2 separate regions of the Mus musculus genome follow, and region 1 is reported to be linked to region 2. The links are microRNA targets in miRTarBase. Many come from high-throughput screens and were not tested one by one. Region 2 holds a microRNA gene; the other region holds the end of a gene's coding sequence.
The links. Region 2 holds the annotated microRNA mmu-miR-3094-5p (UGUUGGGGACAUUUUUAAAGC, at 2,295-2,315, shown strand). A microRNA usually pairs through its seed, bases 2 to 8, with sites in the 3' UTR of a target mRNA and lowers its output. Matches are read on the target gene's strand: a 7mer-m8 pairs with bases 2 to 8, a 7mer-A1 pairs with bases 2 to 7 and ends in A, and an 8mer does both.

Region 1: the mRNA of 6030458C11Rik is a reported target of mmu-miR-3094-5p. Seed matches in the 3' UTR shown: 8mer at 6,005-6,012.

Annotation. Positions count from the first base shown.
Region 1 is chr15:12,804,414-12,811,534 of GRCm38, forward strand. It overlaps 6030458C11Rik (RIKEN cDNA 6030458C11 gene), which reads right to left. Exons shown (of 9, transcript NM_029998.3): 9 at 3,764-6,431. The coding sequence ends at 6,299. Among named protein-coding and RNA genes, the nearest start is that of Gm41274, 9.4 kb to the left of the region's middle.
Region 2 is chr4:40,991,402-40,998,522 of GRCm38, forward strand. It overlaps Mir3094 (microRNA 3094), which reads left to right and starts at 2,294; the gene lies at 2,294-2,357. It overlaps Nfx1 (nuclear transcription factor, X-box binding 1), which reads left to right. Exons shown (of 24, transcript NM_023739.3): 7 at 343-482; 8 at 2,358-2,457; 9 at 2,562-2,779; 10 at 5,414-5,511.

The sequences.
Region 1 (7,121 bases), not on the chromosome of region 2:
ACTGAACAGACTATTTTGAATTTGATGAAAATGTTTATTTAGTGTGAGAGCTATGTTTCTGCTAAACTAGATAAATATACTTTATGTAATCAATGCAGGTCTATTTCTGTACCTTATTCTGGTTATGTCTGCTGATCTATACTGCCTTATTTTAACTAACATAATTACACATTCAGTATATAATCTGTTATGTTTATTTTTCAATATTTTCCTGGTATCTTTGTTCACTTATACATCTGAAGTGTAAAATCAGTTTCATGAGTTAAAGTGAAAGTGTCCTAGGGTGTATGTGGTTACTCACACCTGTAATCCCAACACCTGGGCAATGAAGATAAGGCCTAGAAAGGGAAGGAGGGAGGCAGCAAGAGCTTTGTGGGGCCTCGAATGGCAGAGGATGCAAACGAAGATGATGGAGGCAACCATTAAACACAAGCTGATGGCCTTGGATAGTGCAAAGCTTAGAATGGCACAGGAGAAGAACTGCTACTTGAGAAAAGGCTTCCTGGAAGCCACTGACCAAGGGCCAAAGATCATTCCCGACTGTTTGTCTCTGATCTAGTCACACCAACCAACCTGGCTGCTGTAAATGTCTGGGAGGCAACACTGGTCTGGGATGCCTTTTGGCCACTTTTAGAGGGGAACTGTTGTGGCTGCTTAGAAGAGGCCTCTGACTTTCTCAGGAGGGAAGCAGACACCTACCTGAGATCCCTGGAAGAGCAGAGCAGAACTGGAGCGATGAGCAAAGCCCCAGTGATCTGCACTTTTTGTCTTTGGCCCTCAGTATCAGCTGCCTTGTTGGTTTTTGATGCAGAGCCTTGCTGTGCAGTTCTGGTGGCCTCCACAGCTTGACAGACGTATCAACGTCAAACACATGGTGCTTTTGCTTGATTTTATAACAGCCACATGCTAATGTGTGGGTGCCTGAATATTGAATACTGTTTATATCAGTATATCATATCTTTCTATAGTCATATCCTCATTTGTGTTATTTAATATGAAGTTCTATTTGTGCAAGTTACACTAAAGTCTAATTTGTGGGTATCTCGCTTTGAATTATAACATCCTATTTGCTGACATTTTATGACTATATGCTATTTATCTGGGAATCTCTCTAAGGCACTGTGTGGCCTGTCTCAGTATGATACCAGATAAAAGTCAAATTACTAGTCTATTAATACTCAAAAGCAAATAAAGAGTTTAAAAAGCTCTGTTATGTAGCACCTAAAATTTTTATATTGAGAGAATTTCTTTTTTGTCAGAATTTCATTTTTCCCCCCACAAAGCGAGTGTTATATTGCAATTTGAGGCCCAAATGACATCACCTTTCTCTCTTAATTTTCTAAATAACTGTATCACCATTACAGCTGTTGATAAGGGACAGGATTACAGCTCTGAGCAACAGCTTTCTTAAGGTGGAGTTGGTCATCCATTGGCACCCCTGTTAGCTACTCTTTGGGGCCTTGTCTTAGTTAGGGTTTTACTGATGTGAACAGACACCATGACCAAGTCAAGTCTTATAAAAAACAACATTTAATTGGGGCTGGCTTACAGGTTCACAGGTTCAAAGGTTCAGTCCATTATCATCAAGGTGGGAGCATGGCAGCATCCAGGCTGTCATGGCGCAGGCAGACCTGAGAGTTCTACATCTTCATCCAAAGGCTGCTAGTGGGAGATTGACTTCCAGGCAACTAGGGTGAGGATCTTATACCCACACCCACAGTGACACACCCATTCCAACCAGGTCACACCTATTCCAACAAGGCCACACCTCCAGATGGTGCCACTCCCTGGTCCAAGGATAGACAAACCATCATAGGCCTACTTTCAAAACTTTGCATCGGAGGATGAAGACAGCAGAACAAATCCTTCTAGAAGAAAAGATCCCATGTTCCTTCATTTACTCTTTGACCCAGGAAGGAATAGAGAGGCAGCGCAGGGCTATAGCTGTGCTTCTAAGTGGATGGAAAGAACCAGAGGTGGGGAAGAAACGTCGCTGCTTCAGTGGTCAGCAATGCTCACCCAACGCAGGGTAACTTTAGGGATCTAAACTTCATAGACACAGTTCTTGGAAAATGATGTCAAAGGTTATGCTTTCCTCTTTGGAACATGATTCTCTTCAGGTCTTATTCATGTCAGATCACAAAAGATCCAACCATCCTTGACCATGTACGTACAAGATTAAAAATGTTACTGGGTTGGCAAAGGGGTTCCATAGACAGTCCCCTAAACATCACAGGCTATTGTCAAGGCTATTGGCTATTGATCAGAACTGAAAGGTAAGGCCCAGTCGCTGAAGTGACCTTTCTTATGTCATCAAACAGAGAAAGAAAGCTGGTGTGTGGGGCAAGTGAGAGGTGTGACTTGGGGAACAGGCCTGGGACAACGGTGAGGTTGAGACATGTCCAAACTCCCAAAACTCATCTTGAGACTGGCAGGAGTAAGGATTGCTTCTTTCCTCTTCGGGGCCTGCAACTCCCTCGTCCACCACCGAGGTAGCCATGCAGCCTGATAGCCGAATTACAGGAGTAATGTGCTCTCTGCCTACAAGGACATGTTCATCAAGCACCTGGAATTCCTCTTCATGCAAATGAAGCGTTCCCAGCACCGCAGCACCAGTTAATAATTTACATCCCAACCTGCTACCCACTCCCCAAGGTTTATATAGCCCTTATTAACCCCCTAATAAAGAAGCGGTAACACTGAAAACTCTCAGAGAAGGCTTCTTCCTCCACAAAAACAACCCCCCCACCATCGCCCCCCCCACCCCCGGCATTCAAGACAAGCGTGTTCCTGCAAACCCACCCGGCCTGGATAAGCCTGGACAAACCTGCTTATGCTTTCATGCCAGGCAGCTGAGCTACAGTGCCTGAACACACGGAAGGCAGAAGCAGAACTGGCCTGCGCTGGTGCCCAGCCAGAAGTCTCATCCCTGCTGACTACTGTCCACAGTGCTGGAAGGTACTTTGCATGTTGGAGGAGTAAAGTGGTCACTGGCATCACCTGGCTACAAACCCTACAACTTACAAACACGGTTTCAACAGTGGTGCAAGCGTTACGATTGGATTGAAGACTTTGTTAAGATGGAAGATATGCTTGGCACTGCTCAAGTGGCAAGATACCTGGGACTAAATTGGTCATAGGGCTAAGGGGAAAACCTACTAGAATCTTGCCAATGGTACAGAGCAATGAAATGACTCCTAACGACACACTGCTATACGCATAGATCAGAGTATTGTCCACCCCTCATCAGAGATGCTGCTTTGTCGTAATTAATTCAGAAACCCATAACTGAGCAATGGGCAGAGCTGGAGACCTCGGCGCACAGCCCTCAGTGGAACGTCTCCATTACCCCCTGCCCTCAAGACTTACGGATCTACGTGGAAGAGGAGGTGGGAAGATGGTGAGAGTGGTGGATGACACCAAAGAGAGAAGACCGACGGGCATGCGAACTACAGAGACTGTGGCAGCACGCACAAGACCCGCAAAGGTTAAAAGCAGACAAAATCCCAGCACTGAGAAGAGAAAGTAGGAAGAAAGCCCTACCTGCTACTAAAAAGCTATCTATAATTGGTATTTTCTGGGAAAGGGGCAATGAGTTTAATGAGTTTTCTCCAGAGGAGCGCTACTGGGCATGTCGACAATTCTAGTGGCAAGTACCATGAAAGGGGCAGTTGGCCTACACAAAATACTCTTGTGTTTTTTGTGTGTGACTTTTGGTACCTTTTTTGACCTTTTTTTTTCCTCTTTCCTTTTTTGTTTTTGAGAGATAGACCATGGAGTAGGAAGGGGGGATCTGGGAGGAATTATACAAAATACATTGTATGTAAAAATTTTTAAATAAAAGTTAAATCTTAGGGAGTTGAAAAGATGGCAGAGCAGTTAAGAGTACTGGCTCCAAGTCCAGGGGATTGGACACCTTCTCTGGCTTCCATGGACACTAAAGCCATGTGGTACACACATATACATGCAACACACTAAAATAATAAAAAATTAAAAATGTTAGTAGATGCTTATTTTATTTAGTAATTTAAAAAGTTTTATCCAACCCAGGTTTAAAAAATGATGACTCACATCAGAGTCCACTGCAGTTACAGTAACCCATCAACAATAAAAAACCAAAACCAAAACAGCTAAAACTCAATTAAGTCCATGCACTGACACGAAGAAGAATTAGTTCTATAGTTTGACCTGAAACCCTTAAAGCTTCCAAATACAGGATTTAATTTCATTTTGCACATAGACTAATTTATTCCTAGAAATGTCTAGTTATAGAACTCTTTAACAAGACATTTTCAGAGCTTAAAAACAATTTTACAGTTCTGAGTTTGGAAGAACACAAATCTTTTGATTATCAGGATGGAAGGCTATCAGTTGGTTTTATTTCCACAATACAAACAAGCTTTCATAGTATTGGATTTTTGTCAATTTCCTCAGTGCCAAGAGAATTCGCCAGAGGAAAACATGAGCACGGTAGGAAGAGTACGCACCGCAGGGCAAGGGTAAGGCATCCTGGAGAACTGGCCGCTTCGAGGTAGGTCACTCTGATCCTGGCTACTCCCCTCTCCAGGCCCACGTGCAGGCGAGGGTTGAAAACGGGCTGTGAAGACAAAAGCTACTGTGCTCGCCAGGAGTGATGGATATTTATTTTTTCTTTACATATCATCTTACCCTTTAAAGAAATTAAGCAGTTATAAAGTAATTACTGAACAAAAGTGCAGGGAACAGGCAAGCAGAAATTAGCTTCTAGGATAAAGACGGTCCCATTCACGCCTGGTGGGGTGGGAACTCAGGGTAAATAGTAGTGGCTGCAGCCACTCTCTGGCTAAGGGCAAACTTGGCTCATTAAATATATGAAGCATCATCTTCAATGCACGGCGCAGAAAACATTCTCTTCTCTATGCAGTGACAGGTCTTTCCAATAAAAACTTTATGTTTATATGTTTACATGTGGGTATGTACACGCATGCGTGTGTAGTTTTGGAGGCCACAAGAGAACACTGGAGTTGTGAGGTTGTGGGCTGCCATATGGGTACTAGGAACTGAACTCCAGCCTTCTGCAAGAGCAGCAAGTGCCCTTATCTGCTTAGCAACTTTCTAACCACTCGACTGATTGACTGACTGCCAAGAAAATGACACCTAGTGCTTAAATGCTTAATGCCAACTGAGGACTATAATGACCACCAAGGCAAAACTCCCAAAAGGCGTTTCCACTGTAAGCAGCTGGGCAGTGGTGGTGCACGCCTGTAATCCCAGCACTTGGGAGGCAGAGGCAGGCGGATCTTTTGAGTTTGAGGTCAGACTGGGCTACAGACCGAGTTCCAGGGCTATCAGGGATACATAGAGAAACCCCGTCATCTCAGAAAATCAAAACCAACCCATCAAAAACAAACGGCCGGGCATGGTGGCGTACATCTTTAATCCCAGCATTTGGGAGGCAGAGGCAGGCAGATTTCTGAGTTCGAGGCCAGCCTGGTCTACAGAGTGAGTTCCAGGACAGCCAGGGCTACACAGAGAAACCCTGTCTCAAAAAAAAACCAAAAAACAAACAAAAACCCCAAACCAAACCAAACCAACCAACCAACCAAAAAGAAACAAACAACCCAAACAAAACCTACAACAACAACAAAATTTTGCTTAGGTGTATTCAACCAGACCCCTTGCATACAAACAAGTCTGGAGAAGATCCAGCAACCGCGTGGGCACAATTCCAACACGCTTAGCGCGGCAGACTTTCTGCAAGCACCGTCATGGACTGGCAAGGGTCTTCTGACATGCCATCTGCGAATGTTACTTTATACTTATGGTCAAGGGTGCCCTGAGAGCCGACAGTTCTCCAGACGCAGCCGTGGCTCTCCCTTTTCCCTGAGACTGCTGTGGGCCCTTATTTGCTTCTCAGGTCTCCCACACGAGGACAGAGCAGCTTGTCTTTAACAGAGTCTGGCTCTCAAAAGTGCTAAGTAAACATCAGCGAATAAATAAATAAATCTCATATCATCCAAACCCTTGTTGGGGAAAGAGAAAAAAAAAAAACCCCTCTTACAGAATCAAAGGCAGCGATGGGAAGCAAGGAAGATAACAGACAGTCTCCATCAACCGGGGTAACGGATTTGATGTGAAAACAATAAAACCAAACAAGAACCCCTGCGTCTACCCCAAGTGTTGTATGTGGTTGGTCACTGATACTTGCGTGGAGATTTCTGATTCCAACTGAGAGTTAACAAGAAAGTGCACTCTGGAAGCCCAGAAACAAAAGCCGGGTCTGTCACTGCGCCAAACTGCACAGCAGCCTAGCACGGTCTCAGCTCAGAGGGGACTCTTCTGAGTACACCAGGTGAGTGTCCAGGGTCCCGTAGAGTGAGTGCAGCACATCGAGGACCTTTCCCTGAATCATGTCAACTTGTTCCGGAGGACAGTAATCATCCAGACTTGACCTGGAACCAAGCGGAAAGGGGGCAGAGCAGAGTGAGAACAAAGTCGCCCGTGTGGAGGCACAGCCAGTGCACTGCTGCCAGCGAGGGCCACAGGCGACTGTGGAGTCACGGCTGAGAGCAGGGAGATGCTTACCCCACTTTTGGTGCTTTACAGGAATTGTCCTTTATTGTTTTCTAAAATGATATTCTATAGGACAGGTATAATACTAAGGATTGGTATTTGATATCGAGATGGGACATTGCTAAGCAGACCCCAAGGCCTCAGACTGGTTGTGTAGACCAGGAAGGTCCCACAGTTCCTGTGACCTTCCTGCCTTTGCCTCTAAGTGCCTATCTTAAGCATGGCTACCACAGCTGAACTCAGGCCTGTATTGTTGGGTGGCAAGCACTTTACCCTCAGCCACCTCCCCAGATCACCTTCAGCAAGCTCACCATCTCCACATAGGTGAGAAAGGGCTGTATTTCAGGGTAAGGCCATTTTTTTTTTCTTAAAGCTTTATTTTTATGTGTTTGTATTGTATGTGTGAATGTGCAGCCATGTGTGCCGGTGTCCACAGAGTCTAGGACAGAACACTGGATACCCTAAGATTGGAGTTGGAGTGGTGAGCTATCCAATGTTGGGTGCTAGGAACAGAACTCAGGTCCTCTCCAAGAGCTGCCAATGTTCTCCATTGCTCAGCCATCTTTTCT
Region 2 (7,121 bases):
ATTAAAAAAATGGTACGAGAGGCCAGTGAGATTGCTCAGTGATTAAAAGTGCATGACTGTTGAAAAGGACCTGAGTTCCATTCCCAGGACCCATGTTGGGCAGCTCACAAGAGCTGGTCACTCCAACTCTGGGGACATGACATCTCTGGCCTCCATGGCCACCTGCACACCTGTTTACAAACATGTCTACACAAAATTAATTAAAAATTTGAAGGAAACACTTAGAAAAAGTTGGGGAGAGCAATGTCAAGAGAAGCGTTTACTGGGTGTTGAGGGAAGGGCTTGGGCTTCAGTCTGTGTAGTGGGAACTTCGGAGTGATGCATTTGTGTCTATCTTTATAGGCACACGGTTCGCTGTGGTCAGCCTGTCTCAGTCCACTGTTCTAATGCATGTGAGAATATCTTGAACTGTGGTCAGCACCACTGTGCTGAGCTGTGCCATGGGGGTCAATGCCAGCCTTGTCGGATCATACTGAACCAGGGTAAGTGGTGTATGTGCACCTGTTAGCACTGCTCGCAGGCATTTCTGGAATTGTGTGGTGTGTCAGTTATATTGCAACAGAACTGCTCACAGAAGCCTGCACTAGAGGGAGAGTCCAAGGAACAGGGATCAAAAGCATGTCCATAGCGAGGCATCTATTTATACTTACCAGGATGTCGAAAATGAAAGACTAAAATCCAGATGTTGGCAAGGGTGAAGCATCTAGCATCTTCATACAATGTTGACAGGTGTTTAAACTGCTACAGTCACTTTGACAACTGTCAACCTCAGCATAGCTATAAGCAAACTTGTGAAGTTAAGCATGTGTATGTCATGATCCAGCCAGACCCTGCCTCAGAATAGAAGAGATGGGAAAGGGAAGAAACAAAGCTCAGCAGAGCAAAGGCTGCTCGTAGACCAGGCTGCTCTCAGAAGCCCCTGGCTGCTGGAGTTTGTCCACCAGTTCACTGGTTCCAAAGGACTGATTGTTCTCTGTATGAATTCATCCAACAAATGATTGTTCTCTGTATAAATTCATCCAGCAAATACTTACCTGGTAAGATGTGCGTTTTAGTGTCACAGTGGGTAAAGATGCACATATTCTTTTTTTGAAGACAGAATGTATTTTTTAATGTGTATGGATGTTTTGCCTTCATATGTATGGGTGTGTCAGTGTGTGTACCAGACATGCCTTAGTGCCCAAGGAAGCCAAGGACACATCAGGTTCATGAAACAGGAGTTACAAGCAGTTGTGAGCCACCACATGGGGGCTGAGGAATCAAACCTAGATCCTCTTGAGAGCAACTAATACTCTTAACCATTGTGCTCTCTCTCTCTCCAGCACTAAAATGTTTATTTTTAAAATGTAAAAAAAAAAATATTTTTCAGTCACTTGAGGTTTTCCTCTTGCCATGTGCTAGAAGTTGTTTTTGGCTCTGTTTACTATTTTATGGATATGATTTTTTTAAAACTATTCTCACTATATAGCCGTCTAGCCGTCCCTGTCTTGCCTAGAATTTGCTGTTAAACCAGTCTCTTCTTGAACTCAATTACATTTATTCTGATGTTGATTTTCTGGGCCAGTAGCTAACCTAAGTTATCCTAAAAAAAGAAGTTAGCATTTAATTAGTTCCATAGTGTTTCCAGTTTAGGTTTTTTTTTTTTGTTGTTTTGTTTTTGTTTTTGTTTTTGTTTTTTTTTTCCGAGACAGTGTTTCTCTGTGTAGCCCTGGCTGTCCTGGAACTCACTCTGTAGACCAGGCTGGCCTCGAACTCAGAAATCCGCCTGCCTCTGCCTTCCAAGTGCTGGGATCAAAGGCGTGCGCCATCACGCCCGGCTAGTTTTTACTCTTGTTCACCATTTATCATATGGGCAAGGTATAGACTAATTTGTGATAAATATCCTTTGTGGAAAAAATGTAAAGTGATACCAGAAAAATTATGTAATTTAATAAAAATTATAAGTTTCTTTCAACAGCAGGGCCCTTTTTGGGAGCATTTCATGTGATCCATTTCACTTGAGTTGAAGGGATCTAGGTGTCCACCCCTCTGCATCTCAGTCTAGCTTGCCGGCACCCTGTGCCATGCAGGGAGCTTCACAGTGCCTGCTGCCCACCATTGAGACTGGATCGGGCCCTCTGACGCCTGAGGTCATTGTTTACAGGGTATCTTCTGCAGCAGCACTAAGGCACTGGCAGAGGGGGCAGAGCGTGCTTTATTCCCACGTAAAGCTCTTAGATGGGTGGGAGAGCTGCCGCATAAACAACATTCATGTCTGCATCATGTCTGGTCTATACTAATGAACATTTATAGATTGTTGGGGACATTTTTAAAGCATGGATTGGTTATTGATTTGTCCTTTAAATTGTGTCCTCAAGTGTGCTACTGTGGCAGCACCTCCCGAGATGTGTTGTGTGGAACCGATGTGGGAAAGTCTGATGGATTTGGGGACTTCAGCTGTTTAAAGATATGTGGCAAGTAAGGGTTTCCTTTTTTTACCTTTAGATTAAAGTTTCTTTTAGAATAAAGCTTCATTTTATATAACAGTTGTGCAATTAATTGTCTGTTGTTTTTCTTAATAGGGACTTGAAGTGTGGGAGCCATACCTGTTCTCAGGTTTGCCACCCTCAGCCGTGTCAGCCTTGCCCACGGCTCCCCCATTTGGTGCGATACTGCCCTTGCGGCCAAACACCTCTCAGCCAGTTGCTGGAACATGGAAGTAATGCTCGGAAAACATGCATGGATCCTGTCCCTTCCTGTGGAAAAGTGTGTGGCAAACCCTTGGCCTGTGGTTCCTCAGGTAACTAGTTGACCTAAACTTATTTTTTAAATATGTAGGAGATGAAGAGATAGCTCAGTGATTAAGAGCACTGGCTGCTCTTTCAGAGGATCCAGGTTCAATTTTAAACACCAACATGGTGGCTCACAGCTGTCTGTAATAAACATACATGAAGGCAAACCATTCATACTCATAAAATAAAAATGAAAAAGATTTTATTTTTTTAAAAATGTAAATGTTTAGGAATAATGACGTTTTCACCAAGTAACATTAAATGCCTAAGAGCAGGGGTTCTTATAAATGTGATGATCAAATTTGGATAGATACTTTTTTTTTTTCTTTTACTCAAACTACACTTGTGAAAATACAGATTCCCAAGTCATGTCTCCAGTTTTATTGCCAGCACCATCAGTTCTCTTAACAGCCTAGTCTAGTGCAAACACCGTATAGGCTTTTACTGATCTAGCATTCCAGGAGTGTTTAAATGTCATTTTTTATAATAGGAACATGCAAAAACAACACTGGATGAGATATTTAAGAACTGAAATTTTAAGTGTTCAGCCACTTAAACATTCAAAGAATGCCTTCTAGAGCTAAGTCCCTCCCCATAGGTGGGGATGACGCCTCTGAGCATCATTTTGTCTGGGTAAATACTTTTCTAAACTTTTCCTTCGAGCAGGCTCTAACTAAGCAGCCCTGGTAAAACCGGCAGCCTCTCCAGGGCTGGGATGACAGATATGAGCTACCATACCCAGATCATATTACCTTTTAAAGACTTGTAACAGAAGATAATTTCATTTACATTGTTGATTGATCTTTCTTGTGGACCTGTTACCCTGACTAAAGTGATGATGTGGGGTCCACTGAGGTTTCTCAAGCTATCTGCTCTGCAGCTGTGTGTGTGTGTGTACAGTTAGGATTTTATTACAGGCTTTCTGAGGCTTTTTGTTGTTTGTTAAGGTAATTTGGCTCTTGTTACTTATTCTTGTTAATATTTTTAGTGCTGCTGCCTTCTGATCTCTAGTGATGCCTTGTTTCTTCCTTTTTTATGGCTTCTGGTTATTTGTATATAGAAAAGTTCATTGAAATTAGATATAAAATAATGTGAGTTTTGTTTGTTTTAGGGCTGTCATACTGTTTTTCTTTCTGAGACAGGATCTTGTATGTAGCTCAGGCTGGCCTCTGTAAGCCTGCCCCCTTGTCTCAGCCTCTCAATGGCAGGGTTACAGACATGTACCACCTGTCTGTTTACTCAGTACCTGGAGGTTTGAGTGTGACTTGGTCTTTGAAACATGCACAGGTTTAGCTTTGTAGCTACTTGCTGGGCTGAGGTTGTAGCTCAGTTAGTAGATGCTTACCTAGCATGAGTGAAGCTACTGGTTCCATCCTCAGCTACACACTCCACACACTCCACAAAGTAGAGGCAGAGAATTTTGCAGTTCATAGTTATCCTAACTACTTAGCATTTTTCAGACCAGCCTGGACTACATGACACCATGTCTCTAAAAACGGAAAGTTTTTTTTCTTCCCAATTGATTTTAAAAACATATTGATAATACTGAGATAGCTCAGTGTTTAAAAGTGCTACTGCCAAACCTGATAACTTGTGTTCTGTCCTGGGGGCCCACTGGGTTAAAAAGGAGAGAACTGACTCAGTCCTACAAGTTGTCCTCAGACATTGCATGCATACACACAAAATAAATGGTGGCACACACCTTTATTCCCAACACAGGAACCAGAGGCAGGCAGGGTTTCTGTGAGTTCAAGGCCAACTAGGTCTATTACATACATTGACATGTGTGCATATCACACACAATAAGTATAAATTAATTGGCTTGGCTTGTGTCAGGATCTCACTATGTAGCTCTTGACTGTCCTAGAGCTCACTCTCTCCAACTTCATACTCAGAGATCTGCCTGCTTCTGCTTCCCTGGGTGCCGGGACTAAAGGTGTGTGCCATTCTACCTGGCTTGATAGATAGGATAAATGTATACTAGTAAAATTAATATAAGCGCGACACTGATGTGGACTGGCAGTGTAACTCCTCAGTAGAGCAGTTGCTTAGCATGCACAGTTCCCTGAGCTTGGCTTTCAGTGCTGCAAACATGAAAACAACTACGGTTGTCCTTTCATGAGCCTCTGAAAGACGACTTGTCCTGGGCCTGGGATAGTGGTACATACATGTAATCCCAGCATGCAGGCCAAGAGGCGAGAAGATTATGACTTTGAGGCCATCTTGGACTACATAATAATACCCTGTCTCAAGAAAGGGAAACAAAAAAAGTATTTGTCCTAAATCTAGTTATCAGGTGAATGCAGGCTGTTCGTGGCTGCGTAGAGAGCAGCCCCAATTGATGGAACTATGGATTGTGCCTTCAGAATTGTCTGCGATCCCCAGATAACTTTCAGAGCCTAGAGCATTTCATCAAAGTCATCACAATTAAATTTTAGGGAGATCTGAATGTAATGTAAAGATGTGGGACCTAAAGCAAAGGCCGGGAAGTCTGTGCTTTCCCTCAGCAGGCAACATGCTAGTGCCCAGCCTGCTGGGTGGAGGGAAGCTGAGGATGAGGACACAGCGTTGGTAGTGAATTTGGAAATACCAGGATCAGTCAGTGCAGTTGTCACTCCCCACTCTGTCCCTTTTTATTACAGATTTCATCCACACCTGTGAAAAGCTTTGCCATGAAGGAGACTGTGGGCCGTGCTCTCGCACATCAGTCATTTCCTGCAGATGCTCCTTCAGAACAAAGGTAAGGCTAGAACTGTTTAACATGGTGATTGTGAGAGAGGAGGAACCAAAATAATCCAGCTTTACTCCAGTGTATGACTCACTGAGTTCCCCCAGTGGAGCATCTGGAGGGTTGCTCACCCCAAGTATACATGTGAAGAAAGAAACAGCACTACTGTGATTTAGCCACATGGGAACTGGGCACAGCCTACAAAACTCCTCAATTGAGAGTTTAGGCAACTACTAATATGGCCAACATGACCACTTAATCCTCATCTGAGCTGAAGGCCAGTGGGCCCAGGACCACTTACAACGTGATAATTTGGTAGCCTGAATTCACTGAAAACTATCACAGTTGTGATTGCAGGAAAGGACAGAGATTAGAATTAGTCGATTGAAAAAACATGTAGGAAAGATCCAAGAAAAGAGCAAATGCTCCATTTGTCCTTCCTCTATGACCTTCTCGGGTCTGTGTGTGATAATATAGAGAGAATATTCCAGCCAGGAAGGTTCACAAAAGCCTGTGTGTTTAGAATGTATATTGTCATCCTGGTATGGCCTACAAAGCCAATGTCAGTCTCTCCAGACTTTGGTAGCTACTGTGTGACCAAAGCCTCAAGCCTAAAACTGTCCAGTGTGGCCAGCCTGCTTCTATGTCATATGCTTAAGACTACCCTGTTGACACAAGCCATAGAATAACAGTGTTACTCAACTAAACAGTCCCTTTTGAGAGACAAGTGCAGAGGCCAGGATTCAGGTTCAGATTCTAATTTCAGCCCTAGATAGTGATTGGGCATCTGACTGTCGCTCTGAAGTTGGGCTTTAGTGCCCATTTCTGTTTCTAACCAGAAGAGGCATGACGTCTTCTATGGCTGTCTTGGGAGGGAGTCTTCTAAGTAATGATCTGTCCTGTTGTTCTACCAGGAGGTCATTTCAGTTCATGGCAGGACTTCCTCTAAAGAACATAGGCTAGGATGAAGACAGACCTTAACAGTTGATTCTTTTTGTTAAAGTAGTTAAGGTCTGAACAACAACTGATTCCTAGGTTATTTGGAAGATGTAATAGTTTAATGGATAAGCTTCAGAATAAAAGAAAAAAAAAGGAAGCATAGTATAGTGATTACTTTGATGGCCATTGTGTGAAGCTTACGGGATATTTATACTAAAAGCCACAGTGTACGTGGCTGGAGCAATGGCTGAAGGAGCTGAGGGTGTAGCTTAGTGATAAAGCATGTGCTTATCGTATAAGGAACACCCCCAGAAAAAAACCAGTCAATGATCACCAATTTTGTAAGGCCCACAGGTGCTCTTAGGGACTTTTGAACAAGAGTTGCAAGTAGGGTAAGAAACAAGCTATACAGATAACTGCTGTGTGCTTGTATTTCTCTCCAGCAGTCCCGTCTCTGCTTTCTTGCTTTCATTCACGCTGTCCTCACGCTCACAACCCATGCAGTGAGTGTATTCTTCAAAAGCTTTGTAAATTGAAATTATGCAACTCTTTCTAATTGGTATAAGTTCTGTAAACCCTTTTGACAAGTTAAAAATTCTCTTCAGAAAATTGATACCACTGCCCATCATTTAGCCACGTGGATTTTTCTTTGTTTTGTTTTTCAAGGCAGGGTTTCTCTGTGT